5 linked regions of the Macaca fascicularis genome follow. The protein of the gene in region 3 interacts with the protein of the main gene of each other region in a biochemical or structural test. Links are inferred from orthologs where the notes say so. Each region holds a gene or a part of one and is shown on either strand. Other genes may lie near its edges. The genes, in order: SREBF2, PTPRJ, MAPK3, DUSP3 and PTPRB.

What was found.
Region 1: of the proteins of MAPK3 (region 3) and SREBF2, one has a biochemical effect on the other in vitro, tested with the Homo sapiens proteins (2 studies listed by BioGRID). The link is inferred for Macaca fascicularis from reciprocal best matches to the Homo sapiens genes MAPK3 and SREBF2.
Region 2: of the proteins of MAPK3 (region 3) and PTPRJ, one has a biochemical effect on the other in vitro, tested with the Homo sapiens proteins (2 studies listed by IntAct, with this or other methods). The link is inferred for Macaca fascicularis from reciprocal best matches to the Homo sapiens genes MAPK3 and PTPRJ.
Region 4: of the proteins of MAPK3 (region 3) and DUSP3, one has a biochemical effect on the other in vitro, tested with the Homo sapiens proteins (2 studies listed by BioGRID and IntAct). The link is inferred for Macaca fascicularis from reciprocal best matches to the Homo sapiens genes MAPK3 and DUSP3.
Region 5: of the proteins of MAPK3 (region 3) and PTPRB, one has a biochemical effect on the other in vitro, tested with the Homo sapiens proteins (2 studies listed by IntAct). The link is inferred for Macaca fascicularis from reciprocal best matches to the Homo sapiens genes MAPK3 and PTPRB.

Annotation. Positions count from the first base shown.
Region 1 is NC_088384.1:9,727,964-9,733,846, reverse strand, and holds part of SREBF2 (sterol regulatory element-binding protein 2), read left to right. Parts: intron 1-865; coding exon 866-1,058; intron 1,059-1,581; coding exon 1,582-1,763; intron 1,764-4,394; coding exon 4,395-4,671; intron 4,672-5,883.
Region 2 is NC_088388.1:17,852,737-17,859,143, forward strand, and holds the start of PTPRJ (receptor-type tyrosine-protein phosphatase eta), read right to left. Parts: upstream 3,604-6,407; 5' UTR 3,598-3,603; coding exon 3,160-3,597; intron 1-3,159. UniProt on the Homo sapiens protein: Tyrosine phosphatase which dephosphorylates or contributes to the dephosphorylation of CTNND1, FLT3, PDGFRB, MET, KDR, LYN, SRC, MAPK1, MAPK3, EGFR, TJP1, OCLN, PIK3R1 and PIK3R2. Plays a role in cell adhesion, migration, proliferation and differentiation.
Region 3 is NC_088394.1:27,974,170-27,980,020, reverse strand, and holds part of MAPK3 (mitogen-activated protein kinase 3), read right to left. Parts: intron 2,264-5,851; coding exon 2,074-2,263; intron 1,891-2,073; coding exon 1,774-1,890; intron 1,513-1,773; coding exon 1,398-1,512; intron 1,015-1,397; coding exon 883-1,014; intron 733-882; coding exon 623-732; intron 528-622; coding exon 405-527; 3' UTR 373-404; intron 1-372.
Region 4 is NC_088390.1:64,812,382-64,818,781, reverse strand, and holds the start of DUSP3 (dual specificity protein phosphatase 3), read left to right. Parts: upstream 1-1,466; 5' UTR 1,467-1,519; coding exon 1,520-1,644; intron 1,645-5,488; coding exon 5,489-5,715; intron 5,716-6,400. UniProt on the Homo sapiens protein: Shows activity both for tyrosine-protein phosphate and serine-protein phosphate, but displays a strong preference toward phosphotyrosines. Specifically dephosphorylates and inactivates ERK1 and ERK2.
Region 5 is NC_088385.1:77,296,531-77,302,413, forward strand, and holds part of PTPRB (receptor-type tyrosine-protein phosphatase beta), read right to left. Parts: intron 5,545-5,883; coding exon 5,281-5,544; intron 3,405-5,280; coding exon 3,141-3,404; intron 2,102-3,140; coding exon 1,820-2,101; intron 1-1,819. UniProt on the Homo sapiens protein: Plays an important role in blood vessel remodeling and angiogenesis. Not necessary for the initial formation of blood vessels, but is essential for their maintenance and remodeling. Can induce dephosphorylation of TEK/TIE2, CDH5/VE-cadherin and KDR/VEGFR-2.

The sequences.
Region 1 (5,883 bases), on a different chromosome or scaffold from region 3:
TGTTTATTGTATCACATACTTAATTTTACTAAGGATGCTCTGTTTTTGAAATATTCTTATAAATGTGATTCTGTTTGGCAACAACAGGCTGTTTGACATATAAATTGAATTAGCTCGGCTTCTGAGTCATCAGAAGAATGGTTTTAAAATATTGAAAAGAAATGACATGCTATATACACATTGGGGCGCAGGGGAGATCTGGCTCCAGCCCTCCTGCTATAAAATGGAGAGTGGGGTGGGTGTAGACAATGGTACTGTTTTAGAACAGGTAAAATATCCTTTAGATAGATTCACACTAAATATGATTTTTGATCAACTTTATTGAGGTATAATTTAAATGCAATAAAATATACCTACTTTAAATGTACAGTACCAAGAGTTTTAACATAATGTACAGTGCTATGTAACTGTCACTATAATCAAGATATAGAACATTTCCATCACCCCAAAAAGCTCTTTTGTACACCTTTGCAGGTAGTTTCCCACACCCCTCTCCAGCCTCAGACAATTACTTGATTCATCAGTTTCCTGTTACTTTAGATTCATTTTGCCTGTTCTGGAATTATACAGAAACAGAATCATACAGTGTGTTCTCTTTTGTGGTAGAGCTCTATTTTAAAAGAAAATCTCTTCTACCTTTGTTCTTTGGCACATGTACTTTTCTCAGTTAGCAAGCAGGTGAATGTGCCAATGTTTGAGCAGCAGTTAGTGAATTATAGGCCTCTCAATTCCCATCTGGCCTTAGTCCTGAGTTAATAGACTTGAATTTAAACCTCATAACCATTTCTCAATATATATATGTATTTATAAAGTGCTGTAAAAACCTATGCAGTATTTATTCCAACCTCGAGGCCTTGTTTTGAAGGTCAAAGATGAGCCAGACTCTCCTCCTGTGGCACTGGGCATGGTAGACCGCTCACGGATTCTTCTGTGTGTCCTCACCTTCCTGTGCCTCTCCTTTAACCCCCTGACTTCCCTGCTGCAGTGGGGAGGGGCTCACGACTCTGACCAGCACCCACACTCAGGCTCTGGCCGCAGTGTCCTGTCATTTGAGTCAGGTAAGTGGCGGCCCCTTACACCACCTGGGCATGGCTGGACCACTATGGCAGGAGAAGGACCCTGTGTACAAACTTCTTGGCTTGGCTACCAGGTCCCAAAGGGGTTTTATAGTGGGCCCCCACCTGCTTGCTTCTGATAGGGACTGGCATAAGTTCCGTTTTGGAAGTAACAAGGCAAGCCCAAGTTCAGTCAGAATGAGCAAAACAAATCAGGGACCCACACTACTCTAAATACCCTGGCGTGGAGGGGTGGTACCTATTTGAAGGAGGATATGGAGTTTTTTACCTGAGGTTGCAAAACCAATGCCTTAACCCTTTCAAGCTAACAAAGATTTTTGTGGCACTCAGCTCCATAATGACAAGGGCTACAGTCATTAGCCCCGTTTAGATTATAGAATTATTCACCCTTTCTTCTGAAAATACGGTAGAAGACTCGTTCCTGTGATAGTGCTGGGGTCTGTCAGGTGCCTGGCTGTTCCGCAAGGCCTTTCCTGGCAGGCTCTGCTGAGATACTCCTTCTTAGGTTCTGGGGGCTGGTTTGACTGGATGATGCCTACTCTTCTCTTATGGCTGGTAAATGGTGTGATTGTCCTGAGCGTCTTTGTGAAGCTGCTGGTCCATGGGGAGCCAGTGATCCGGCCACACTCCCGCTCCTCGGTCACCTTCTGGAGGCACCGGAAACAGGCAGACCTGGATCTCGCCAGAGTGAGTTCTGTGTCCGCCCTTCCCCATCCTCCCCTAGACTTGACCAATAATTCAGCAACTCATGTCGAAGAAAGTCCTATGATAGATACTTGTGGTAACTGAAAGGAAAAAGGGACCCTGCTGCTGAACAGTCACAGGGCAGTGGAGAGGGCGCCTCTGCATAGATAATTAATTCCAGGGACATGAGATGATCTATGTCTCTGGTATGACAGAGGAATAATAAAGTTGGGTTCTGAGGGAGGGGTTCCAGGGCTTGAGCGGGGCTGCCAAGAGCAGGAAGGAAGGGCGGAGGTGGCCGAAGGACCCACCCAAAGGCATGAATAGACAGGCTATTTGGTGACTGGCAGGTTCCAGGGTATGTTAAGTGTAGGGTGTGTCACAGAGAGTTGAAGGCAAAGGCTGGTAGTGTGTCTAGGCCCAAATTGGAGAGGGCTTTCACTGGGAACTGATTTGGGGCTTTATTCCCAATTCTTTATAGAACCAGGGAAGGTTTTTGAGCAGGAAAACTAGCTGAAAGTTTTCATTTGAAATCAACAGGGAGTTTATGGAAAAAATTCTGGGGCAACTCACAGCATTGAGGAAGAGTTAAACATCCACATTTTAAGAGGAACAAGAACCAGAACACTCCTCAGCAGCAGTGAGCCATGGGCATGCCCTCCCCACCTCTGCAAGCTGCAGAGCCATTAGTGAGAATCTGATTGGCCATCCTGGATCTGTCAGCCTTGCTGGGGCTACGGGTCTCAGAATGTAGATGTGATTTTAAGAGGCCTGTTCCCTGAGCATAACATCCCAAGATGTATATCCTAGAGGCAGGTTCAAGTGTGTGTTTTATAAGCATCATTCTGGTGGCTGTGAAGGATAGGTAGAAGGGAGATGTGAAATGAATGGAACATGGAAACAAGTTAGGGTGCTCTTTTTTAAGTAGAGACAAGGTCTCACTATGTTGTCTGGCTGGTCCCAAACTCCTAGGCTCAAGTGATCCTCTCACCTTGACCTCCCAAAATGTTGGGATTATAGGCATGAGCCACCACACCTGGCTGAGTCAGGGGGCTCTATGAAATAGGCTGAGTAAGAGATGATGGCAAGGACCTGGAATTAAAAGGAAAAGTTTGAACTGAATAAATATTTGAAATGTAGTATTTGGAAGGGAAGTGATAGTGACATTGACTCAAGGGTAAGAGAGGCTCCAAAATGGAGTGGACTCCATCTAGGCCATGTTGCCTGGAAAAGCTGGAAGAGGCCTCTGTAGAGTGAGCAGTGATTGGGAGGCAGGCCATGGGGATGGAGGAGTGGCGGGGCCAGAGTATTTGAGAAGCTTGTCTGTCAGGAGAGGATTCTTAGGGAGAACTGGACTGGGGAGTCAGGAGGGGTGAGAGCCAAAGACTGGGACTTGGGAATAGCGCACCTTTGAGGGAAAGGCAGGGGAGGAGCCAGGGAACACCTGCCTCCTTTTGAATCTTCAAGTTGCAGGTACTTCTGACGGAAAAGATAGAGCCACCTTAGAGACTGTTGCTCTGAGGACATCTTTTCTTTTCCCTTATCCAGTCCTGTAATGATGTGGGAAACAAAACACAGGTAGTGTACCAGCTGCCCAATAGAGGAAAATAGGATAATTTACTTTAATTTCCTAAGACTGTATAGCCTGTCTTAGCCTGTCTTATAGTCTCCAACAGTGACAGAGAGAAGGCAAGCGTTCTTCAGTGCAGTGCCAAGACTCTCCACTAGACCCTCTCAGGTTGACAAAGATTAGTTCATCTGAATCCTAGAGTAGGGTAGTTTAGCTGTGAGTTTGCCTGAAACCATGGTTCTCAAACTTCAGCAGGCATGAAGCCGGGTACTGTGGCTCACACCTGTAAATCCCAGCTACTCGGGAGGCTGAGGTGTGGGTATTGCTTGAGCCCAGGAGTTCAAGACCAGCCCGGGCAACACAGCAAAACCCCCATCTCTAAAAATGAAAAGAAAAACACTTTAGCAGACATGGCATGAGAATCACCTAGAGGGTTGCAACACCAGAGGTTCTGATTCAGTAGCCCTGGGGTAAGGTCCAAGTGCTCGCATTTCTAACAAGCTCCTAAGAGCTGATGCTACTGGCCTCTGGGGGCCGCACTTTGAGACCCTGAAAGCCTAAAGGATCATGCAGTTCATCTAAATCTGTGTCACCTGTCTCATGTCTAAAAGATACTGCTGGCTGGGCGCGGTGGCTCACACCTGTAATCCCAACACTTTGGAAGGCTAAGGCAGGTAGATCACTTGAGGTCAGGAGTTCGAGACCAGCCTGACCAACATGGTGAAATCCCGTCTCTACTAAAAATACAAAAAAATAAAAAATAAATAAAGTGCCACTCTGAGGGAACTCTGACCAGCATTTGCTCAAAGAAGGAACACAGTACAATCTCAATCGAGTAAAAAGCCTGGAAGGAAATACCTCAGAATGTCAGCAGGGCTTCTTCCTGGGGAATGAGATTATAGGTGGTTTTATTTTACTTTCTTGTAGCTTTCTGAAGTTTCCCTTGTTTTTATGAGTATGCACTAATTCCTCTGATAATGGGGAGTGAAGGGAGTAGAAGTCTATATCAAAACAAAAAGCCAGAGCAAGGCCAGTGACCGTTAACACCTCTTGATACTTCGTAGGGAGATTTTGCAGCTGCTGCCGCCAACCTACAAACCTGCCTGGCAGTTTTGGGCCGAGCACTGCCCACCTCCCGCCTGGACCTGGCCTGCAGCCTCTCCTGGAACGTGATCCGCTACAGCCTGCAGAAGCTACGCCTGGTGCGCTGGCTGCTCAAGAAAGTCTTCCAGTGCCGGCGGGCCACGCCAGCCACTGAGGCAGGCTTTGAAGATGAAGCTAAGACCAGCGCCCGGGATGCGGCTCTGGCCTATCACCGGCTGCACCAGCTGCACATCACAGGTGACGGGGCGGCTGCTGCTGCCTGGCTTGCTGCAAGGCATATCATGCTACCTCTCCTCCTTAGCTTGATTTGCCAGTTCTGCACCCTAGCTGAAGTCCTTTTAATGCTGCTCTTTTAGAGTGGCTAGACCAAGCTTCTACCTGTTTCCACAGCTGTAAGGATGGCTCTTTGCTTTAGCTCATCAGTTCTCGGATGCACATGTTTTCACAGTAACATCACTATACTCAGGATGTGTCCTATAAACAGTGGCACATTGTAGATAAGTGGCAGTGTTTTTCTTTAGTGATACTTAAATTAATGGTGAGATTTAAAATTGCTGACATCTTAGAGTCAATGAAATATGATCATTTATTTCATTCATTAAGCTCCTGCTATAATAGAAAGGCAGAGAGGTCAGCAATGAATGACAGTTCAGTGTGAGTATGTTAGACTTTAGCAGAAGGAACATGTTTTCGTTGGGAGGGAGTGGGTACCTGTTTGGAGGGTTTCAAGAAAGGCTTCTAGGGAAGTAAGAGTCTTGGCTTTGCATGGAAGAATGCATAAGAGGTCACCAGCTCTGCAGGATATGAGCCTTCTGGGCAGAGGGATGTTCCCAAGGAGGAGCCCCACCTGGGATGGCTCTTGGGAATAAGTCTTCAGTGGTCCTAGAGGGAGCCAGGGCACAAAGGCAGTGCTCAGACCATGAAGGATTTGGATGCCAGGCTGGGGATCTTGTAGTGTATCAGTAGGATTCAGTGAAGAGCATTAGGAAAATAGTGATATGATCAGGTTTGTGTTTCTCAAGTTTAGAAGAGTCAGGCTGGGCATGGTAGCTGGCTCATGCCTGTAGTCCCAGCACTTTGGGAGGCCAAGGCGGGTGGATCACCTGAGGTCAGGGGTTCGAGACCAGCCTGGCCAACATGGCAAAACCCTGTCTCTACTAAAAATACAAAAATTAGCCCAAGTGTGGTGGCACGTACCTATAATCCCAGTTACTTGGGAGGCTAAGGCAAGAGAATCACTTGAACCCAAGAGGTGGAGGTTGTAGTGAGCCAAGATGGCACTACTGCATTCTAGCCTGGGCAGCAAGAGCAAAATTCCATCTCAAAAAGAAAGAAAAGGATAAAGACTGGCACAGCAGAAAAGGAGAAAGACTAGCACAGCAGTTCACGTCTGTAATCCTAGAACTTTGGGAGGTCAAGGAAGGAAGGTCGCTTGAGCCCAGGAGTTTC
Region 2 (6,407 bases), on a different chromosome or scaffold from region 3:
GGGCCGAACTTAAAGTCAGCTCAAAGTCACCGTCTAACCATAAACCAATTTGCTCTGTTTTCGTAAACTGTCTGCAAACAAAACATAATCATCTGGTTTTCCCGTTGTTCTGAAGCAAAACAAAAATATTTAAAGTCACTCATATGAGAATCTAACAAGCAGTTTAAAGAGGAGTCAAAACATATTTTGTACTCTGGATGGAACAGGTAAGGAATCAGGCTTAAGGATTAGCCATGATAGATAATAAACCCAGTTATTATTCACTAGGAAACAAGAAAGTGAAGATAAAACAAAACCAAAACACTACAAGACCAATAAAACAGCTATTAGTCACCAGCTTTTTTTTCATTTATTCTTTTAAAATCAGCCCACATCAAGCTGATTTCTTAAAGAACCTGTCAGGATTAAATTTCTCAAGAGAAGGAAGCAGGAGGAAATCTGCTTTGTCACATTGCCTAAAACATACCCACAAACCAAAACTAGTGTGCAAAACTGCTATGAGAATGGGAGGAGTCAGACACTGCAACCAGCAAAGTCCTCATGTTGGAATCATTTCTGACCGTCCTTCCTGTCTTAGAAAAGGGGAATGAGATGCCAGTTCAAAAACTGCTTTTCCGGGCCTGCGAAGTACTGAGCCTACCAGCATCTCAGCTTTCCAGCTTCCACATCCGCCCTTATTAATGTCCAAACAGAGCTGTGTCTTTTCCATGACTTGTCCATTTGTTTAACCTGGTAGAGTTGATTCCATTTTATAACACACACACAAGCACATACACACACAATCCAGGCCTCAGAAAACCAGTCGGCTTTTAGGAAGGTAGTCACATACTCTTGTTTCCTAAACAAACTTCAGAAGTATCTCAAATTTGATTCGACTTTGAAAAATTCCATTCACACTCACCGTTTTGAGAAGACACAGTGATATGTCGCTATCATTAAAAGTAAGATCAAAGTGAAAACACGAAAAAAAAAAACAGCACTTTGAAAATACAAGGCCCAGGCAGGTGACCCAGGTTCCCAACTTGTCTTCTCTAATGCTTTGCTGGGTGACTTTTGCCTGCTCCCTGTCTTCTCTGGACCTCAATATCCTCATCTAAGAGCTCTGAGGGGTTTCAGCTATCTTGAAAGTCTGGTCCAGCTCAAAAAGGCACTGATTCCCTGAAATATCCATTATCAAAATGAACTGCTGAATGTGGATTTTGAAGATGCTTCTTCTGAGAGCCTTTTAGATTTCCTATTTCATAATGTATCCAAAAAAAAAAAAAAAGAAGAGAGTCCTTTTGAGGTTCTACAGAACAAACCATAGAGGAAGGAAATATTTAAATACAGGACAAGTGTAGAGTGGCAATATGCTAATGAAATACAAGGAAGGATTGAGCAAGCAATAAATTTACCCAAGAAACTTTTTGCTGATTGAAAGCACAGCTAGCAACCAGTATGGCTGGAGCAAAACAAAAAATTATATTTATAATTTAAAATTTTTTTTGCTGAAGCGAAAAAATAAATTACATATATATTTAAAAACAAATGAAGCTTTAAGTTGGGAGGTTTTCTGTTTTTTGTTTTTTGGGGTTTTTGTTTGTTTTAGCATAAACTTTGATACAAGAAATCTTCAAATGCAAGGCTTTTTTAATTTCAGACACTGCTTCCCTGAATTTCCTTGCATGGTCAGGGAGAAGACAGCCCCCCCACACACTGTACCTTAATAATGAGAATCCCATCTGGAAACCCTTAATATTTACAAAGCTCTTTTAGACATTGGCCAGCGGAAGCCCCTCAAACAATTCCATCGGGAAGGGGGTGCTACACCCATTCTACAGATGCTGTTAACTGAGGGTAGAGGAGCCTGAAGAGGAAGTCCAGCCCTGCGGCCTGGACCTGGAGCCAGTCTCCTGACATCTACTCCAAGGTTCTCTGCAGGAGGTCACATTGCCTTCCGGCCCCCAGGAAAGCCTGTGCAGAACCTGCTGAGGAAACTGCGAGGAGAGACCCCTGGATGCCGAGGGTCACGCAGCCCCTAGGCCCAAGCCCCTTTCTCCTACTGCCTGCTGGGCGGCATTTCTGCCCCAGGGAGATGCTTCTGCTCTCTCCTGTATTCAAGCTGGAGAAGTTTTCCCTGAAACCAGGTTCCATCCCCAGTCAATAACTCATTTCCTCAGAGATGGTGTCTGTATAAACCAAGCAAGACGGTCATTTGCAGAAACGCACAGCAGGGCAGCCCCAGGCCACTTCCCCTGCGAGTTCAAACCCCGATAGGCTCCAGAGGCTGAGAGAACGCGCCCGCTGGCTCAGCTCCCATGGCACGGGCTGGGTGCTCCGCTCTTTCACTTCTCTTCCTCAGTTCCCCATCTGTGAAATGGGAATGCCCCTCAGCTGCCCTGCCTCACCCCCTATGGAAATGCCAGGAAGGGGAAAGGTCGGTCACCAAAACGCCAGGGACAGCATTATCCGAAAAGTGAAGCAAGACAAGAGGGCGGGGGTGGGGTGGGGACGGGGAGCCGGCGCCCACAAAGCACGAATTAAACACCCATGAAATCAAGCACGACGCCAAAAGGGCCGGCTACCTTGAGAAAAGCCAGCGTTCGGCCACCTTTTCCCCGGCCTGGGAACTTTCCCCAGAAACAGCGCCCTCGGCCCCGAGTCCCGTGCCTCGCCCAGGGCCCCACTGCCCAGCTCCTGGCCCTGCCCTGGCGCCCCCGCCGCCCCTCGGGCCCCTGCAGGCCGGGTCGGAGGTCGGTCGGCAAAGGCTCGGCCAGGCCGCCCGGCACTGCGTCCCCAGACCTCCGCAAACACGCCCCCTCCGGCCGCCTCGGGCTGGCAAGCCGGGCCCGTGCCGGCCAGATGTGCCCAGCGCCGGGAAGAGCCGGGCCGGGGACCGCCTGGAACCCGCGCGGAGGCTTTCCCCGGGAGGCTCGGGCACCGCGGAACCCGGATCCCGCCTCCCTCCCCCTGATCCTGGGCAGCCGGAAAAGGGCTCGGTCGCCGGCGTGCGAGGCCGGCCGGGGTCCCCGCAAGCCGCCTTCAAGAGGGGGGATCCGAGGATCCGGACCCTCGCCCCCTTCCATGGAACCCCCCAGGCGGGGTACTCCCAGGCAGGTGCAGGCAATGCCAGTCCCGCCCCAGCCTCCTGGCCCCCGCCCGAGCCCACCCGGCGCTTACCTGGCCCAGGAGCAGCAGCAGCAGCAGCAGCGGCAGCGCCCAGCGCAGCCCGGGTGAGCGCGGAGGCAGCCGCGCCTCCCGCGCCGCCGGCTTCATGCCCCGCGCGCCCTGGAACGTGCCCGGGACGCGCGAATCGGGCCCCGCCGTGCGCCCGAGCCCGGGCACCGTCGTCGCCGCCTCCTGCCGCCTCCTCCGCCTCCTCCTCCGCCAGCCGGTCCGCCTCGTCCCCGCTCCGCCCGCCCCGGGCTTCCCCGGGGACATGGCAGCGGCGGCGGCGGCCGCGGCCACACGCCGGAGCCTGGCGCGGCTGCCGCGGGGGGGCCGCGTCCCTGAGCGCGCAGGGGCTTCGCGGGGCGGAGCGAGCGGCGCCCACCCCCAGTGCGCGGCTCCCCGGTCCCGGCTCCCGCGGCTGCTCCCGCTGCCTCCTCCGCGCGTCATGCGGCTGGGGCTGCAGGGAGCCGCGGCGAGCGCTCGGCCCCCTCCCTTCCCCTCCCCCTCTGAATATTCATCGCTTCCTCCCGCCCCGGCCGGCCCGGCGGCTGCCGAGCTCCGCAGCCCCTCGCCGCCGCCCGCCGCTGCCCCCGCCCCCTCCGAGCCGGCCGCTGCTCTCCTCCCGCGGGCAGAGGAAGCGCCCCCGCCTCGCCCGCCCCTCCGCCCAGCCCTCCCACATTCCTGGGACTTCGAGCCCAGGACCAGGCTCCGTGGCTCTAGCGCCTCGAGCCGGCACCCCTCAAGACGGGCTCCCCTTCTCTCACCCGGTCCACGGCGCCGGGTTCGGGTAGGCAGAGGTTGACCGAGACCCCTGCTGAGAGCGCAGCCAAGCCTTATTGTATACAGCATCCCGGCGAAGGCGCGCTTGACCTGTCCCTGGGTGGGCTTGGGGGTGCGTGAACCCAGAAATTGTAGGAGGCACGCTGTACATTGTGTTCTGTCCCCCAGACCCCGAGCGCCGGCCAGGGAGGCAGAGAGCCCAGTAGAGGCCAGTCCAGGGATTAGAACCCCAGCGGTGGCATATGGTGGACCGGGCTCTGCTGGCAGTACCAGCTCTGTGAACTCTGGAGACGCATTTCTCCTCTCTGGCCGCTCCCACACCCACCTCTCCTCCCGTGTGAAATAAAGATCGTACTAGGACCTGTGTAGAGAGAGGTCCACTGCACTCACGATTAGACGGGACAGTGGTTAGTAAAGTCCTAAATACCTGGCCTGACACATCGTGGGACTCCACATATGTTAGCTCTTCTGGAAGCTTTCATCACGTTGTTAAAGAGGTCCATGAACTGACAGGAGTTAAAAATCACAGCAGATATTACTCCTGTGCCCATGCACAGAGGAAGACGCTAGGATCAGGGAGGCTAAGCCACTTGCCCAGGAGAAGCCGCGAGAGAAAGGGCCAAACCAGAGAGTGCTAAGGAGGAAGAGGTTAATTCCAACCAGGAGAGAGGTGACACCTGAGCTGGGCTTTGAAGGATGGGTTGAGTTTCACCAGGCCAGTAGAGGGGAGAAGTGTCTCAGGAGGTGGGGCCAACTTGGCAGAAAAGAGGCAGCAGATGCTTCAAGCTTGGCCTTGGGAGAAACAGGAATGGGAGGCTGGGGGATTCATACAGGGAGAGACTTCAAAGGCCAGGATAATGAGTCTAGGCTGGATTCTGTGTGCAGACCACCAGGTGGCCAACGCTACCTCCAGACACCCCTTGGGTCTCAGGTTACCATCTACAAGATGGAAACACACATTCACGTACAGGGTCTACGTGGCTCCCACCAGACGACACACCCAGAGAAGCACTAAGGATAAAGAAACTTGGCCGAGCCGCAGGATGGCTCACGCCTGTAATCCCAGCACTTTGGGAGGCCGAGGTGAGTGCAACACCTGAGCTCAGGCGTTTGAAACCAGCCTGAACAACAGAGTGAAACCCAGTTTCTACAAAAAATACAAAAATTAGCCGGGTGTGGTGGCACACGGCTGTAGACTAAGCTACCCGGGAGGCCGATGCAAGGATGGCTTGAACCTAGGCTGCAGTGAACCAAGATGGCGACATTGCACTCCAGCCTGGGGAATAAGGTGAGACCATGTCTCAAAAAAAAAAACAGGCTGGGCGTGGTGGCTCAGGCCACGCCTGTAACCCCAGCACTTTAAGAGGCCAGGGCAGGCAGATCATTTGAAGTCAGGAGTTCGAGACTAGCCTGGCCAACATGGGGAAAACCCATCTCTACTAAAAATACAAAAATTAGCTGGGCGTGATGGCGCGCCTGTAATCTCAGCTACTTGGGAGGTTGAGGCAGGAGAATCGCTTGAACCCGGGAGGCAGAGGTTGCAGTGAGCCAAGATTGTGCCACTGCACTCCAGCCTGGGTGACAGAGTGAGATTCCATCTCAAAAAAAAAAAAAAAAAGAAACCTTACCTATGGGTTTACACACCTTGCCACCTTTCATTTAAACACTATGTAATTATCATAATTTACAAGGATTTTTGTTCCTCCGTGCCTCCTCCCCTCTTAAGCCAGAGACATAAAAGGTGTTCACGTCCATGATACCCAGAGGGAAGGAAAGCTTGATTTAAGATGCTACCAGGGGGCTGGGCGCAGTGGCTCACACCTGTAATCCCAGCACTTTGGGAGGCCAAGGCGGGCGGATCACCTGAGGTCGGCAGTTCGAGACCAGCCTCACCAACATGGAGAAACCCTGTCTCTACTGAAAATACAAAATGAGCTGGGCGTGGTGGTGCATGCCTGTAATCCCAGCTACTTGGGAGGCTGAGGCAGGAGAATCACTTGAACCCAGGAGGCAGAGGTTGCGGTGAGCGGAGATCACGCCATTGCACTCCAGCCTGGGCCACAAGAGTGAAACTCCATCTCAAAAAAAAAGATGCTATTAGGTAGCCACGGATGATTGCCAATTATACAAAAGAAAAGAAGAAGATGCTAGTAGGTCTGCAGGCTGCCTCAGATCCTCACAGACCCTACAGACCCTACAAACCCTGAAGACCGGCCCAGGTCTCCACAGATTCATGACTTGGGTCGGCAAACAGCCCTGTGAACTCCTGCACGCCCTTCAGTTTTCTCCTGGGTAAAATGTATGCCCAGCTTAAGTATTGGTTGGAACTGGATTTTGCCACTGCACGGTGATGAAACAGAATAAACAGCCTTTGCAGGAAAGGGAGTGAAGACCTGAGTAATAAACTACCTCTTCAGCCATAAACAGATCACACTGGATTAATGACCTCTGAGAGAAATGAAATTAATCCTGGGTAG
Region 3 (5,851 bases):
CCAAAGTGCTGGGATTACCAGAGTGACCCACTGTGCCTGGCTAATTTTTGTATTTTTAGTATAGATGGGATTTCGCCATGCTGGCCAGGCTGGTCTCAAACTCCTGACCCTCAGGTGATCCACTCATCTCAGTCTCAGTCTCCCAAAGTGCTGGGATTCCAGGCATGAGCCACTGCACCCAGCCCCCGGGCACTTCTGTTGTCACCAGACACACCGAGCATGGGTGCAGGGTAAGCTTGCTGCTATATGGAGGCACATACAAATACAGATATAGATATTGATATAGATACAGATACAGATAGAGATATAGATAGATATAGATACAGGTATTTAGTATCAGCGTATCTGTGTGCCGGCCATGGGGACACTCACCAGGCCCCAGGGTGCAGGGATGTCTGTCTGGGTTAGGGGGCCTCTAGCGCCCCAGGCTGGAAGCGTGCTGTCTCCTGGAAGATGAGCTCCTTCAGCCGCTCCTTAGGTAGGTCATCCAGCTCCATGGCGAAGGTGAAGGGCTCCTCGGCCACTGGCTGGGGTGGCAGAGACAGCAAGGCTCAGGCCTGGCATGGGGGATGCCTACTTACCCCCCTGCCCCTGGCCCTACTGCTGCTGGGGACTGGCCCACCTCATCCGTCGGGTCATAGTACTGCTCCAGGTAGGGGTGAGCCAGCGCTTCCTCCACTGTGATCCGTTTATTGGGGTTAAAGGTTAACATCCGGTCCAGCAGGTCAAGGGCTATAGAAGGGCAGGAGTCAGGGGTCACAGGGAAGACTGGAGAAGCTCCCAGAAGCATCACTTTGCCTGTCTCCTCCAGCTGCTGCTGGGCTCCCGTACCCTCCATGGCACCCAGGGTTTATCCCACACCCGTCCTCATGTCTCTCAAACCTTTGGAGTCTGACTTGGGGAAAAGCTTGGCCCAAGCCACCTTGGTCTTGGAGGGCAGAGACTGTAGGTAGTTTCGGGCCTTCATGTTGATGATACAATTCAGGTCCTCCTGGGATGGGGAGCCCAGGATGCCTGTGGATAAGGAGGTGACTTGGTAAATGATCACCTCCTTCTTTCTGGGAACAGAACAGGCAACAAGGCAAGAACAAGACCCCCAGCCCAGCAACCCATGCCAATCCCTCAGTTACCTCCTAGTCATTAGCATGGTGGTGCAGAGCAAGGGGGCTGGATTCAGGCAGACCGAGGCTCAAATCCTAGGTCTGGTGCCTCCTTAGGTGTGGGACTTAGACTTGCTTTTCCCATCTATCCAATGGGGATAATATCTATACCTCATTGAGATACCATGAGATGCTGGAGGCGCCCCACACGTGGTGGTATCCCTGACTTGGACTCTTGAGAAATCTCACCTTGGAGAAGGTAATCATCCCCCACTCAGCCAGCCGGGCCTCCCTCACCCAGAATGTGGTTGAGCTGATCCAGGTAGTGCTTGCCAGGGAAGATGGGCCGGTTAGAGAGCATCTCAGCCAGAATGCAGCCCACAGACCAGATGTCGATGGACTTGGTATAGCCCTGGGAGAGAGGAGGAAGTGGTGGGCTCCTGGGCCAGCCTCAACAGGGTCCTGTTTCTACACCAAGCCACCATCTCCAAGTTAGATCCAACACCAGGCAGAAGGCAGAGGCCTGGAGGGCTCAATGCTCAGCTTCCTTGCAGAGCCCAAGGCCCAGAGGGTGGAATTCCTGTGTCATGGGGGTCGGTATCTGGCTCGGAGGTAGCTCCAGGGCTTCCTGGGACCTGGTCCCTTCCCTTCAGGAGTGGGCAGCCCCTCCTACCTTGGAGTTCAGCATGATCTCTGGGGCCCGGTACCAGCGTGTAGCCACATACTCCGTCAGGAAGCCGGTGTGGTCATGCTCAGGATCGGCAATCCGGGCCAGGCCGAAATCGCAAATCTGGAATCAGACCAAGCTGCTAAGCTCGGTGCTCAAGGCCTCTGCAGCTTAAGCAGTCACGCCCCCTTGTCTTTGCCTCCACTGTTCCCCTTGCTTGCAATGTTCTCCTGCCCAAGGCTTCTACTGGTCACCTGGAAGCCCCAGACCCTGGGGGAGGAGGGGACAGGTGCCCAACCCTCTGACCTTAAGGTCGCAGGTGGTGTTGATGAGCAGGTTGGAGGGCTTTAGATCCCGGTGGAGCACATTAGCGGAGTGGATGTACTTGAGGCCCCGCAGGATCTGGTAGAGGAAGTAGCAGATGTGGTCATTGCTCAGTTGCTGGCTTTTCAGCAACTTGTACAGGTCAGTCTCCATCAGGTCCTGCACAATGTAGCTGAGGATGGTTCCGGAGACCCCCGGGGAGGGGGCAGCGGGAGGCACTTGGTTAAGGAAAACAGGCTCTGAAGGCGAGGCTGCACATCTCCTCCAGCCAGGGCCCCTGGGACTCAATAGATCTGCCAACCTGCACCACCAGCTGGGCAAGCTGCTGCCGTTACCCAGCGGCAGGGCTCTGAGCCTCTGTCGCGTCACCGTTGCTGATCCTGAGCAAGGGGCTTCACTTCTGTGGCCTCAGTTTCCCTACCGGGGAAACAGGGATAATAATAAACTGTGGGAGGCCGGAGAACTTCACAGTTAAGAGCAGCAACTTGGGCCAGGAGTGGTGGGTCACGCCTGTAATCCCAGCACTTTGGGAGGCTGAGGCGGGAGGATCGCTTGAGGCCAGGAGTTTGAGACCACCAGCCTGGGCAACATGGCAAAACTCTGTCTCTACTGGTAATACCAAAATTAACTGGGGACAGTGGCATGTGCCTGTAATCCCAGCTACTCGGGAGGCTGCAACACGAGAATCACTTGAACCCGGGAGACAGATGTAGTGAGCCGAGATCATGTCACTGTACTCCAGCCTGGATGATAGAGTGAGACTCTGTTTCAAAAATAAATAAATAAATAAATTAAAAAAAGAAAACTACAAAAAGAGCAGCAACTCTGGACTTAACCCATGGAAGTCTGAAATCTCCTCTCTACTACTTACTGGCTTTAGGAGCTCAACCTGTCTGTGCCTCAACTTTCTCATCTGGTATGTAGGGGAAATAATGTGTTTTTTGTTTGTTTGTTTTCTTTTTATTTTATTTATTTATTTTTTTTGAGACGGAGTCTCGCTCTGTCACCCAGGCTGGAGTGCAGTGGCCGGATCTCAGATCACTGCAAGCTCCGCCTCCCGGGTTCACGCCATTCTCCTGCCTCAGCCTCCCGAGTAGCTGGGACTACAGGCGCCCGCCACCTTGCCCGGCTAAGTTTTTTGTATTTTTAGTAGAGACGGGGTTTCACCGTGTTAGCCAGGATGGTCTCGATCTCCTGACCTCGTGATCCGCCCATCTCGGCCTCCCAAAGTGCTGGGATTACAGGCTTGAGCCACCGCGCCCGGCCTGTTTGTTTTCTTTTTGTGGAGACGGGCTATTGCTATGTTGCCCAGGCAGGTCTTGAACTCATGGGTTCAAGTGTTCCTTCCACCTCGGCCTCCCAAAGTGCTGGAAATTACAGGTGCGAGCCATGAAATAATGGTTCTTTTGAGGGTGGTTGTGAAGACTAGATGAGATGGCGCATGTAAAACTGTCAGCCCAGTGCTAGGCAAGTTGTGAGTGCTAGGCAAACATGAACTATTATTACTAATATCAATGCCTGAGTCACATGGCTGTTGAGGGAGTTAAATGAGATAATGTATGAACACCATCTGGCATGCAATAAATGTTTGCTTAAAAATAAATGCCTGCCTTATGGGAATGGTTTGTGCAAGAAAAATGAGGAGACACTCCCAATAGCACACTCCCACTCAAAGAAGAGTGCTTGGCCATACCTCAGAAGATGGAGGAGTAAAATGTCTTTTTCTATTTGAAGATAAAACAAAGCTTATGCGTAAATAAATAAATAAATCCACAAATGCCGTTTGGCTTGTCTCTGGAAAAATAAGTCAGGGCTGTCTTTTAGAATCTGCCTTGAGGCCAGGTGCAGTGGCTCACACCTGTAATCCCAGCACTTCAGGAGGCCAAGATGGGTTGAAGACCTGAGGTCAGGGGTTCGAGGCCAGCCTGGCCAACAGGGCAAAACCCTGTCTCTACTGAAAATACAAAAATTATCTGGGCGTGGTGGCGGGCGCCTGTAGTCCCAGCTACTTGGAAGGCTGAGGCAGGAGAATAGCTTGAACCTGGGAGGTGGAGGTTGCCGTGAGCTGAGATCCAGCCACTGCACTCCAGCCTGGGTGACAGAGGGAGACTCCATCTCAAAAAGGAAAAAAAAGAAAATAAGAATCTGCCTTGAAAGGGTCTTCAGAGGATATGTGGACCAGCCCTGCTGTTTTAGAGCTGGGGAGGCCCAGCGAGACGCAGTGACTTGCTTCAGACCACACAGCGAGATGGGGGTGAGCACAGAGATTTCCAATTGTCCACAGTTTGTGGTGGGGGCTGCAGACACCGCAATACAAATCCCCGCTCTTGGGTGGAGGGCTGGGACTGAGAGTGGGTGGGTGGGGTAGGGAAGAGGTGACAGGTGTCACAAGTTGCTAAGGAGAGCCAGACAGGAAGTGGACAGCAAACTAGGAAAGCAGTATCAGGGGAGGACAACAAAGGCTAGGCTGTCCCTCCCTGGGCAAGGTGCAAGTCCACAGGTGATTAGGGTGTGGCTCTGAGTGAGAAGTCCTAAGAAGGACAAGTTTCCATCTGGGGGAGGGGAGGAGGAGACAGCAACAGAAACACTTGATTTTAGGTTTCCTGGGCCTCAGCTTCTTCATTTTTTTTTTTTTTTTTTTTGAGACAGGGTCGCGTTCTGTCCCCCAGGCTGGAGTGCAGTAGCACAATCATAGCTCATTGTAGCCTTGAACTCCTGTGCTCAAGCCATCCTCCTGCCTCAGCATCCCAAGTAGCTGGGACTACAGTCATGCACCACCAAAGCTGGATAATTTTTAAATTTTTTGTAGAGATGGGGTCTCACTATGCTGCCCAGGCTGGTCTTGAACTCCCAGCCTCCACTGATCCTCTGGTCTTGGCCTCTAAAGTGTTGGAACTACAGACGTAAGCCATTGCACCCTGCCCTCATCTTTGAAATGAAGCTGCAAAGCCTATCTCATAGGGTAGTTGGGAGGTGTAATAGAAAAAAAAAAAAAAAAGCATTGGGCATGTATAGTACCTGACACGCAGTAGGACCTCAAGAAAGGCAGTTTTTTTGTTTTTGTTTTGTTTTGAGACAGAGTCTCACGCTGTCACCCAGGCTGGAGGGCAGTGGCACGATCTTGGCTCACTGCAACCTCAACCTCCGCCTCCTGGGTTCAAGCGATTCTCTTGCCTCTGCCTCCCAAGTAGCTGGGATTACAGGCATGCGCCACCATGCCCTGCTAATTTTTTTGTACTTTTAGTAGAGATAGGGTTTAACCATGTTGGCCAGGCTGGTCTCCAACTCCTGGCCTCAGGTAATCTGCCCACCTCAGCCTCCCAAAGTGCTGGGATTACAGGCATAAGCCACCACGCCCAGCTGACAGTTTGCTTTCTCCCTGTCTCCCTTCCAGTCTGGGGAAGGAGGAAAGAGAGGAAAGAACCATCCATTTGTTAGCAAGAAGTGACTGTGGGCAGAAGCTGGGTCATGTCTCAGAACTGCCGATGTCAGAAGACAACACTCCCATAGAGACCATCCTGTCTAGCCCTCCCCCTTGGGGCACAGAGCAGAGAACTGACTTGCTCAAGGCCATATTGCCCGGCTGCAGCAGGCCTGGGTTCATCAGAGGCCTCTAAGTCCTGTTACACTGTGGCTTCTCCTCTGCAGGAAAGTTTATTTTACTGGGTTTGTTTTGGAGGGTGGTGGGTAAGATGGAAACAGAAAGCAAGCAACGGGTCCCCAGCCCAGCTCCGAGGCTGTATATGACCAGCGGACTGGG
Region 4 (6,400 bases), on a different chromosome or scaffold from region 3:
CATCAGGGACAGGTCCCGGGAAGGGAGTAGGAGCAGCGGAGCATGGCTGGCTGCCTCTGGGCTTGTGTTTTTAATGCTAACCTAGGCTCAAGTCAAGGAACTCGAAAGCGTTCTCCCCTGCTTAGAATGCAGATGCTACCAGCCAACACCAGAAGGAAAGGAGTGGTGTGCTGGGAGGGGTGGCCAGGGATGGGGTGGGGTGAGGGGTACAGAAATTCCAGCCTTGGTTACACATCTTGGGCTATCAGCTAAGTAGTCTCCACTGCAATAGCTTGCCTGAAGGTGCAAGACCACAAGTTTTGGGGGAGGAGAAAGTTGACCCTAATGATAATCTGATCCAATTCCTTTTGCAAATGAGGAAACTGAAGACCACAGCAGCAGCCATGTTACTCAAGAACCAAATTAGGCCGGGCACGGTGGCTCAAGCCTGTAATCCCAGCACTTTGGGAGGCCGAGACGGGTGGATCACAAGGTCAGGAGATCGAGACCATCCTGGCTAACACAGTGAAACCCCGTCTCTACTAAAAAATACAAAAAACTAGCCGGGCGAGCTGGCGGGCGCCTGTGGTCCCAGCTACTTGGGAGGCTGAGGCAGGAGAATGGCGTGAACCCGGGAGGCGGAGCTTGCAGTGAGCTGAGATCAGGCCACTGCACTCCAGCCTGGGCGACAGAGCGAGACTCCGTCTCAAAAAAAAAAAAAAAAAAAAAAAGAACCAAATTAGTGGCAGGGCTGGCTCAGGATGTGGGGTTCCTGAATTCAAGGCCAAATTTGCTCTTTGCAGGAAGGGAACTGCCAGTCTTTCATGGCAGTAGGGGAGGGCGGCTTTCCTCCAGTACAGACTATCTTTTGTACTTAGTGGGAGTTCAGGAAATGCTGAGTGGCTTATGGTGGGCTGGCATCTGCTCCAGGAAGGGCTGCAGGAGTCTGATTGATCTCCACCCCAGCACAGGGTGTAGCACCCACTGGGTGCTCAACGCATTTGTTGATGAAGGACCAACACTTATTGAGTGCTCGCCATGCAGTGCTGGGTGCCTTCCTTGAATGTCACATTTAACTCTTCCAGCAATCACCTGGGCGCTTGATTCTGTCAAGCGCCCGGGTGATGCCTCCACAGCAGGGAGCCGCTCACGAGCCGAACCCCGCGGTCCCTGTAATCCTGAAAGACTGAAGGAACCTCTAGGTGTACCCCCGCCACAGAAACGTTTATTGGGCCCTGCATTTAATTCAGGGAAGGAAGTTACCGCGCTTCCCAGTTTACAAAGATACACAAACGGCCTGGACCGGGATGGGGCGAGGATTCCCGAGACTCGAGGGCGGTGGCGTCTCCCCCCGGGGACGCGCCCAGGAGTGGCGCGCTGGGCCCCCGCGTCACGGCGCCCGCGCTCCTCAGCTCCCGGAGCCCTGCGGGCCCGCCCCTGGGGCGGGACTGGGCGGCTCCCGGAGCGAGCCCCCGCCCAGCTGACCCGCCGCTCTCCGCCTCGCTTGCTCCTGCCGGGCTTGCTGGGCCCCGCCGCCGCCATGTCCGGCTCGTTCGAGCTCTCGGTGCAGGATCTCAACGACCTGCTCTCGGACGGCAGCGGCTGCTACAGCCTCCCGAGCCAACCCTGCAACGAGGTCACCCCGCGGATCTACGTGGGCAACGCGTGAGTCCCCCCAGTGAGCCCGGCCCCGCCGTCCCTCTCGGGACGCCCCGCCCACTCGAGGCCGGGGTCGGGGTGTCGCGAGTCTTGGGTTGGGGGAGCCCGGGCGCGATCGCCCCTCCGGGAGCCACAGCGGGGGCTTGGGAGGTGGCTGGAGTCGACGCCTACCCCAGCGCGTGGGGCCAAGGAACTGGAACCCTGCCTGGCCGGGCGCGGCCATTCCCCGTCGCGGGGTGCACGGAGCCCGGGGGGCGCCTGCCTGGGTCCTCAGCCGCCACCCCCTTGGGGCTTGGCCTTGGGCGGGGTCGGGGCTACCATGTTCACTTAACAGGTGGCCCTCGGTCGCCCGGCCGGTCTCCTGCCAGCGCGTCATGTGACAGCTGCCTGGTTCTGCAGTGAGGTCACCGCGGAATGTCTGCCTTCGCCGCCATGGCAACGGGCCGACGTCACAATTCGGGCATGGAATTTTCCTGGCCCGGCAGTCCCGGATCAGGGAACCTAAACACCCCAAACGAGCGAGTCCGGGGAGCTGGGCCGGGATTTCCAGGCCCCCACCTTCCAGATGTGGTTTGATTTACAGGAGATTCTAGAACGGTCCACTGATAATCCCCCTAAGGACCTGAGCCACTACCTAGAAAAGGCTCTTGACCTTTCACTCCCAGGCTCTGTCACCCTGGCTGGAGGGCGCGATCTCGGCTCACTGCAACCTCTGCCTCCTGGGTTCAAGCAATTCTCCTGCCTCAGCCTCCCGAGTAGCTGGGATTACAGGTGCCCACCACCATGCCTGGCTAATTTTTGTATTTTTAGTAGAGACGGGGTTTTGCCATATTGGTCAGGCTGGTCTCTTGGCCAGGCTGGTCTCAAACTCCTGCCCGCGTCGGCCTCCAAAAGTGCTGGGATTACAGGCGTTAGCCACTGCGCCTGGCCAGTAAGAATTTTTTTTTAAATTTAAATTTTAAAATTTTTTATAGTAAGAATGTCTAATCAGCAGAAGAGAACCAGTGTTAGAATTCTGAGATGTGAAATAGGAGCCACAAGAAAGAATAGATTAGCATGCCTGTACAGCCTTGGAAAGGCTCAGGTTGGATTTTCATGAGACTCTGAGGACCCAGTTACCAAAATCCTAAGCTCCATGGCTCAGCCCAAGGATGGCATGTTGAAAATTCAAAACTAACCCTCCTCCCATTTTACAGAGGAGGAAATGGTGGCTCAGAGTGTGTGAGGGACTACAAGGACAGGGTCAATGTCTTGTTCATGTATGTATTTCCTGACCTCTGCTAGGACCTGCTGTTCAGCCTGCCAAGGACTGCCACAGAAATGGGGTTCATCGTGGAACTAGAAGGGGTCCATCAGGCCCTAGCCTCATGGGGACAGTTCTCATCCATTCCATCATTCATTCACCAGTCTGAGCGCCTACTTTATGTCAGGCACTGTACAATGTTCATTCATAGTAGAGATAGTAATAATGATAATGGTAAATTTTTTGAATATTGAATTATTAATAGTATTAGAGGCCTGGCGCGGTGGCTCACACCTGTGATCCCAGCACTTTGGGAGGCTGAGGCAGGCGGATCACCTGAGGTCAGCAGTTCAAGACCAGCCTGACCAACATGGTGAAACCCTGTCTCTAATGAAAATACAAAAATTAGCTGGGCGTGGTGGCCGACGCCTGTAGTCCCAGCTACTTGGGAGGCTGAGGGAGGAGAATCGTTTGAACCCGGGAGGTGAGGTTGCAGTGAGCCGAGATCGTGCCATTGCACTCCAGCCGGGCAACAAGAGTGAAACTCCATCTAAAAAAAAAAAAGTATTAGAGAAGGGAGATGAATGGGGGTGACTCTTCAAAGGATTTTTTTCTATCAGCCACTGCTTTACAGTCTTGTGCAGTGTCCTAAGCAGGAATAAACAGAGTCCCACAGTGTCAGCCAAAGGCTTCAGGAATTGCAAAGCTCTAGAGACACCCTTCCTCTTGCCCCAAGCAGCAAGCAGGCCTTGTTAGCCTCAGGAACGCCGCTTGCTTGGGCAGCTTGGTCATTCAGCTGTCATCACTTCCCAAGTGGAAACCAAGGTTGTGCACGTCTGGTGTAGCCAGAGTGGCAATTGCTGATGGCCCCTGTAGAAAATACATCCCTTGCCCTCTAAGCACATCTGACTTTGACTTGGCCAGGGGTGTGGAGGTTCCTCAACAGGAAGGATCAGTGAGCACCAAGCACCAAGAGGACTTGGGCTCCATCCCCTTAACAAAATCAGGGCTGCAGCCATGTCCTCACAAGGCAGAGACAGAGCCTGTGTGAGCCACATTTGCCAGGCCTTGGGGGTTTTGCAGCAGATGTGGGCATGAGAGGCAGAGTGAGGTGTAAGATAGAGCAGGGCTGGATGTCGGGAGAAAGGAGATCTTCCCCCAGCTCTGCCACCGGCAGCACATGGGGCCTGTGCTCATCCCTCTGCTCATCCTGTTGGCCCTGAGTTCAAGCTCTGTTAAGCGGGGATATTGCCATCCTTGTTCCTCACAGGGCTGCTCGCAGTAAGCAAACAAGATCACATAGGAGGTGACATTTTATAAAGTATAAACTGCCATTTGGGCTGGGATGTTTTGTGAGATGAAATAAAAGGGCCTTTTCACCATTCAAACCAATTATGATTTTTATTTTTATTTTATTTTATTTTATTTTATTTTTCAAGACAGAGTCTTACTCTGTCACCCAGGCTAGAGTGCAATAGCATAATCTCGGCTCACTGCAACCTCCAACTCCCGGGTTCAAGTGATTCTCTTGTCTCAGCCTCCCGAGTAGCTGGGATTACAGGCCTGTACCACCACACCTGGCTAATTTGTGTATTTTTAGTAGAAACGGGGTTTCACCATGTTGGCCAGGCTGGTCCCGAACTCCCGACCTCAGGTGATCCACATGCCTCGGCCTCCCAGAGTGCTGGGATTACAAGTGTGAGCCACTGCACCCAGCCTTAGATCAATTATTTTGTAACGTCCCATAGTTCTGTTGGGGCCACTTACTCCCCAAGTACTAAATCACCCAAAAGAGCTTTGGAAATGTAGCTAGTGGAAGGTGGTAGGTAGGATCCCTCTAGGGGGCAGGGAGGGGGCTGCCTGGCGCATGACAAATTTATTTTTCTACACTCATTCACCACTTATTTATTCAGCACCTACTATGTGGCAGGTACTATAGCAGGTGGTGGGGAAACAGACTTAAAGCAGACATGGTTCCTCTCTCAAGGAGCTCAAAGCCTGGATGTCTAAACACAGAAGCACAATCAAGCATTAGAATCGTAGTGCTCACTACCATGTCCGGCTCTGTCAACGGAATAGCCCATTTAATGCTCATAAGAACCTCAGGGAGAAGGCACTGTTATCCCCATTTTACAGAGAGGGAAACTGAGGCACAGAAAGGTTAAATGGCTTCTTAAGGTTGCCTGGCTAGTACCTGGGCTGGGTGCAGATCCAGTTAGTCTGGTTCCAGAGCCCATTTGTAACCAGTTGGCTATGTACACCCCCACCACAGCTTAGGGAGCATGGGGCCAAATGGAATGGAGGGGAGACAAACACTGCAGAGGGTGTGAAAGATGAGAGGGCACATTTCTCCAGAAAAGGTGGAAAAGAGCATTCCAGAGGGAACAGCATGGCTATGAAACCACCAGTCTATTTGGGGAAGCTGCTGGCAATTCGATATGGCCAGAGTCAGGGAGGAGGTCATAAGTTGAGGCAGGAGAAGCCGGCAGGGGCCAGAGCATGGAGGGGTTCCTTGCTTTGCCAAGAGGTTTAAATCCTCCTTCATCTTCCTCCCCCTGGGGCTGCCATTTGGTTGGTTAATCATCCCCACCATTGTCTCCCGTCCAGGTCTGTGGCTCAGGATATCCCCAAGCTGCAGAAACTAGGCATCACCCATGTTCTGAACGCGGCTGAGGGCAGGTCCTTCATGCACGTCAACACCAATGCCAACTTCTACAAGGACTCCGGCATCACATACCTGGGCATCAAGGCCAATGACACACAGGAGTTCAACCTCAGCGCTTACTTTGAAAGGGCTGCTGACTTCATCGACCAGGCTTTGGCTCAAAAGAATGGTAAGGGACCTCCCGCCAGGAAAAGATGGGAGGCAGCTTTGACTAGACTATCCCTCTGGAAAACAGGCCCACAACAGGTGTCTTCTTGGAAACCTCCTTGTTTCCCATCTTCTGGGGTGAATGACAGAGCTGTAGGTCTCTCTCTGCTCACCTGGCTGCCTGTCAAGTGGCCCCATGTGTCACAGGATGTGCAACTCATTCACACCGTGGCAGCCCCAGGGTCCTTGCATTTGATTGCACTTTGGCTGGAGGTTGGTTTCCAGTTGCTTACACATCCCCCATTCGAACAGCTGTAACGATGAGGAAGACGTGTTCATGTGTTCATGTGCATGGCAGGAAGTCCTGAGGTGAAAGAGCATAGGGGCTGGTTGATTCAGCAGTTCCGTGGTGGCATCTGGACCAGGCCCTTTCCCTTTCTCTCTTCTGCCACCTCAGTGTTGGGTGCTCCCGTCCTGGTCCCAAGATGGGATCTGGTCACCACATCCAAGCAGGACAAAGTACAGCAGATGAGACACTGCAGCTATCTCTTCCCACCTTTTCTCTCTCTCTCTCTCTCTCTTTTTTCTGAGACGGAGTCACACTCTTGTTGCCCAGGCTGGAGTGCAATGGCGCGATCTCGGCTCACCACAACCTCCACCTCCTGGGTTCAAGTGATTCTCCTGCCTCAGCCTCTTGAGTAGCTGGG
Region 5 (5,883 bases), on a different chromosome or scaffold from region 3:
CCAGGACTGAATACAACAGTCCAGTCGTGATCTATAAGCCCAGCCGCTAACAGAGTCATATGAGCTCTTAAACTGAGTACCTGCAAGGCTTTTGGGAAAGGCAGTGTCATGTGCATAGTCTATCGACCCCCGTTTGGCTGTGTAAGAAATGGCCCTTGAGCTTAAGATACTTTCTTACCAAGAGATCGAGAGCCTACACAGCCTGTGCTGGGCTCATTGCCTTGTGTGGGAGTATCGTTCCCTGTTGCAAGCTCAATGTATGCTCTTTTGTTCTGCTTACGCATGTGTGTCACATGGCAGATGGTGAACACCAATGCTACGGTTGTCCTCTGAGGAGACAGGACAGGGTCCTTCTACTGTGACCTGAGAGTGGTGCATTTAGCCAACTGCCCTGCACTGACTGCTGGAAGAGACCATACACAATGTGCCCTTCTGTTTTCTGTTGTTGTCAGGGTTGAAGACAGCAAGTGCATCTCTGGGCAACCACTGCAGCTGGCCATGGGGGACTGAGGCATACTGTTGAGGTTGATCTTACTCTGTCTCCTCCCTATGTAAGCAAAGCTTTGTTCCATCCAGTGCTTGCGTTATGTTTCTCTGGTGACTCTAATACCAGATGCAATGGGCAGAAGTGTTCAGAGTCCTGCCCTGGGTTTGGTAACCAGTGCAGGGTGCTCTGCTTAACAGATTTCATGAACACAGCCCACAGTCAGCCACTGAAAACTCAGCCTGAGCTTGCCATAAACTAAAACTCTTAGTTCTTTTTCACATATTTCTTTTGACACACAAATAACTGCTCTTTGGATACAATGTGGCATAAAAGTTATACTTGTTATAGTATTAATGCTTATTAAAAATGTCTGGCTTTATTAAAATGCTTAAATGTCTAACTTTCAACTATGCATTTTATCAACAACCATTAACTATCTGATCTGATCCCAGAAGCTACTTCTACTGGGTATTATTGAAACACAAATATTTGGATTAAAGTCCCTAAGCTGAAAACCTGTCTTTCTTTGAGGGTGATAGTATCTATCCCAAAATGCCTTTGGGAAGAAACTGGTATGTGCTTCGTCATCAAAGTATTTTTCTCTCAGGGACATACAACAGTATGTCCTATGATCCCTCTGCTTCTAGTTTTGCCTCTTTCGGTCTATTCTCTACACTGTACCCAGAGTAACTTTCTAAAGTGTAAATAATGATTATGATATCTCTGCTGAAATTGAGTGGCTCCAGTTGATCCAAAATAAAGTTCAGAGTTACCATGGAATACAAAACATTTTATTATGTGATTCCCTTAATCCTTACCTTTTATGCTATGGCCAAATAAACTTCTTTCTGTTCCCCTGTTAGTAGATCTTGTACTCTCCCTCCTCTCTGATCTTGGAATATTTTATTCTCTCAACCTGGAATATTCTCCACTTCTTCCCCCGCCTCTACCTGGTAAATTTCTTTCTTTAGGTTTCTATTTGGATGTTTCCTTTTCCAAGAAGTTCTCTTGTATTGGGTCAGATTACCCAACCAGTGCCTCTATAGTACCATTTACTTCCCTCATCATACCCAAAATATAATGTCTAGTTACAAATAGTACGTCCTACCTAATTGTAAGCCCCATGAGGGCAGAGAGAGATTCTTTCTTTATTGTCCCTTGTTGTTAATGTTAAATGAATGAACAAATCTACATAGACTTCTGCCTGAATTCAAATCCAGACCAATCCCATGTAAAAATACGGATTTAATCCAAGCCCTATTTAAGTAAGATGTTGAACATATACTTCCCCTCACTCCATTTGAGAAACAAGAATAGCAAAACATGTCATACTTGTCCTCACAGTTCCAAAAATTGGTTTGCTGTAAGTTTTCCAGGAATCACCACTGACAGTCTTGACACTGAATTGATAGGATCTCCCTGGACGAAGACCATACACAATGCGTCCTTCTGATTTTCTGTTGTTGTAGGGGTTGAAGACAGTAAGTGCATCTCTGGGCAACCACTGCAGCTCGAAGTCATTGTAGTCTGTCCAGTCTGGGGGCCCCTTCCACGTGATGGCCAAGGATGTGTTTGCAATGTCAGCAAATGACATAAGACTGGGAGGACTTGGAGCTGAATATAGGAGAAAGTGAAAAATCACATAATCACATCTATGCCATAACACATACAAAAAAGATAGCTGAGTAACATCAGACACACTTTTAATGTACCTTGTAGGAAGAGATAATATGATGATATAGTAGCAGGAGCTTTCATTAATAGTGTTTATTATGTGTAAGGCACTGTCCTCAAGCATTTTATGTACCTTTTTTTCTTTTTCTTTTTCTTTTTTTTGAGACAGAGTTTTGCTCTTGCCGCCCAGGCTGAAGTGCAGTGGCATGATCTTGGCTCACTGCAACCTCCATCTCCCAGGTAGCTGGGATTACAGGCACTTCAGCCTCCCGAGTAGCTGGGATTACAGGTGCCCACCACTACGCCTGGCTAATTTTTGTATTTTTAGTAGAGACAGGGTTTCCTCTAGTTGACCAGGCTGTTCTCGAACTCCTGACCTCAAGTGATCCACCCACCTCGGCCTCCCAAAATACTGGGATTACAGGCGTGAGCCACGGTGCCCAGCCTCATATATGTTTTCTTAAATATTCATAGCCAGATCTTCCTTACCATGGTGCTGTGGAGCATGAGTGTGCTCCGAATGGGTTACAAGTGTGTGAAGGTATTAATTCCATCAGATTTTGGGGTGCAGAGCTGACACCCACAGACAATTATGTCCAATTGCAGATAGCCTTGTTGATTAACCCCAGGGTGACACACAGACATCTATGTGTGCCCATGACATAAAAACAGTTAGGGTGCACTGGTGATAGCCACACAGTGATGATGTATATGATTATCCCCACTTTGCAGATAAGGAAACTGAGGCCTAGAGAGGCTCAATGACTTGACCAGATTCATAGAGCTAAGCTAAGGACTTAGTTCTTTTGGACCATAGCCTTGTCCTTTATCTGTTGTACCACAGTCCCTTCCCAAGTTCAGGGGCTAGCAAGGGTATACCATTATTGGCTTTATCTCTTGTCATTAAAATCAGAATCAAAATGTGTCTCTGGAAGCTACTTCCCACCACCCCTTGGCCACTGGCACCTGAGCTTCTCACCTGTTCTGCTCTCCGCTGTGACTTTATTGCTGAGATCTCCACTGTGAGTTACCACCCACAGCGTGTACTTCCTTCCGGGAACAAGGCCGTGAAACCGCCACTCCGTCAGGTCCTTGTCTTTCCAGTTTTCCTTCTTTGTGCCATTGGGATTATAGAGAATCAGTTCATAAAAGTCAAAGTCCCCAGAGGCTGGACTCCAGCTGAACCAAAGGCTGTCTGTCATGTTCCGATTGGACCCCCTGAGATGACTCACAGAGGCTGGGACTTAAACAAGAAAAATTCTTAATGAGAACAAAACAGAAACAAAGGCATTCTGGCCCACAGGTGAGAGTATATGCTACGTTGGGCATGTGGGTGAGTTGTACATATTATAGTCAGATCTTGCCTACATTTCAGGCCATTTAACTTTAAGGGCGTATAGACTAGAGATACGGTGTAAATTAAAACAAAACAGGTGGTGACTTCCAGATGCTTGCCACATGCACCCTGATAAGCATGTAAAATGAAATCTTCATAAATGATGAATAAATCGTTGTCATTTAGCTTATTTAAAAAGGCCCAGAAAATGTGTATACAAGGTTCCAGCTCCTCCCCAGTGTGGCCTATGTCATTGCAGCCACCATCCCACAGCAACCCTCTCTGGGTCTCTTTACATCCTCTCTACCCTCCTTTAGGTTCTCAGTTCTTTTGTGCCCTTTCTTATAAAATCTGTATTGGTATAACTTCATGTAGGGAGAGAAGTGTTTACAGTCACTCCTATCATTGTATAGATTAGTCATGCTGCCATCCATCCCAATAGCTTTGCTATTCTTTGGAGAATGAAGACTGTTGCCACATTGGAGGACTTCTAAGCATTAATGAGCAGGTGAGGAAAGATGTGCAAAGGGCTGCCTTGGAAATGATGACGGGTAGGCAATTCTATCTGTGGTTGAGGCTTATCGCAGCTCTTTTTCACTCCTTTCAAAAGACAAACAGAACTTCTGTTGGCTGCCCTTGGAATATGTTCCCACCTGGCTCCCTTCACCTTTAGTTCTCTGCTGAAATGACTTCTCCTATCTAAAGTAGTTGCTTGTCCTGCCAAGTCACTATCATGACACATCATTTTTTTCATAGAATGTAAGGCATTCCCAAATCATCTCCCTTTAATGATCTGTCCCCGTCCTCTTCCCTCCCCGCTATTCCAGAGTTCTCTGAGGGCAGCGCCCTTGACTGTCATATTACAGCAGTGGGCCATGTACCTGGCACAGAAGAGCACCTAAAACTATTGTCAAATGAGAAAAAAGAATTGAATAGGTAGGCTGGGCATGGTGGCTCATGCCTCTAATTCCAGCACTTTGGGAGGTCGAGGCAGAGGACTGCTTTAGCCAAGGAGTTCAAGACCAGCCTGGGCAATATAGGGAAGCCCCCATCTCTATAAAAAATAAAAATTAAAAGTTTGCCATGCATGGTGTCATGTGTCTGTCGTCCCAGCTGCTTGGGAGGCTGAAGCAAGAGGATCACTTGAACCCAGGAGGTCGAGGCTACAGGGAGCCATGATAGCATCACTGCACTCCAGCCTGGGCAACACAGCGAGAACTTGTCTCAAAAAAAAATTTTTTTTGAATAGGAGATAAAGGACTCAAATTATGGGAAAAGGGTAGATTCTGTTTTTTATTTGCAGCCCAGAGAGATGTCTCTCACTTTCCTGGAACTCTGTGTTTTCACTTCATCTAGTGCTATGTTTCTAATTCACAGCAGTCACTGCCTGTTTGCTATATTTGTGGTTGCCCTTCTCTGCTCCTGCTCTCCTCTCCATCTATTTCTTGTTAGAAAGCTGCAGGGTATGGCTTGAATTAAACTATGATAGGTTACAGCCCTCTTGTACAGTTTGATGTCAAGAGGAGGAACCACATTCATTTTTTTACCAAGCCCTAGGAAGTAAACAAGTGGAGGCAAAAGAGCAGAAGCTAGTGCAAAAACTGGCCGCAAATTAGTTACACGTAATCAAACGTGCGATTTAGGGTCAAACAGCCTGAAAGTCACAAATGTCATATAAAGCTACATCCTGAATAGAAGAGGAAACTAAGGACCAACCCAGGAAAAGCCAGTGAATACCGGGACAATTCCCCACGATTCATTACTGCTTGGGTCTTGGTCTTACCTGTTCTACCAAATATGAAAGACTCATTAGACAGCTCCCCACTGTGAGTTACAATCACCATCTTGTACATTCGGCCTTGTAGCAAGTTCTGGAAAGAGAAGCTCTGGACTTGTGGGTCAACTTGAGCTCTCTCCTGGAGATTCCCATCTGGGTTGTACAAAAAGATGTTGTACCAGCTGAGCTCCCCCTCTGAGGCGGTCCAGCGGAAGGACAGGTGCCTGGTGGAGTTCTCTGTGATCCTCAGGTTGGTGACAGCTGCTGGGACTGGAAAAGTCGAGGAGCAAGAGAATGAGGGAGGGAAATGCAGTGAGGAGAAGAGAGCAGGTGGGAAAGAAAGGGAAAAGCAAACAGAAAGAGGAAGTTGGATTCAGTGATATGAGAAACAGAAACAATAGGAAAAGCCAAAAGCATTTTTCAAAAAGCTTCATGTTAGAATTTTGCAAACCCTTTTGGACTTCTGTGCTACCTCTTGGCAAGGTCAAGTGCTGCTAGAAACCGCCTCCTTGCAAACTGCTGGCACAGATGCTGTCTGATTCCTCAGCAGGCTTAAGATGCCAGTAGAAACAGAACAGGACATCTGCCTTGATTTCGCCTGAGTTCTCT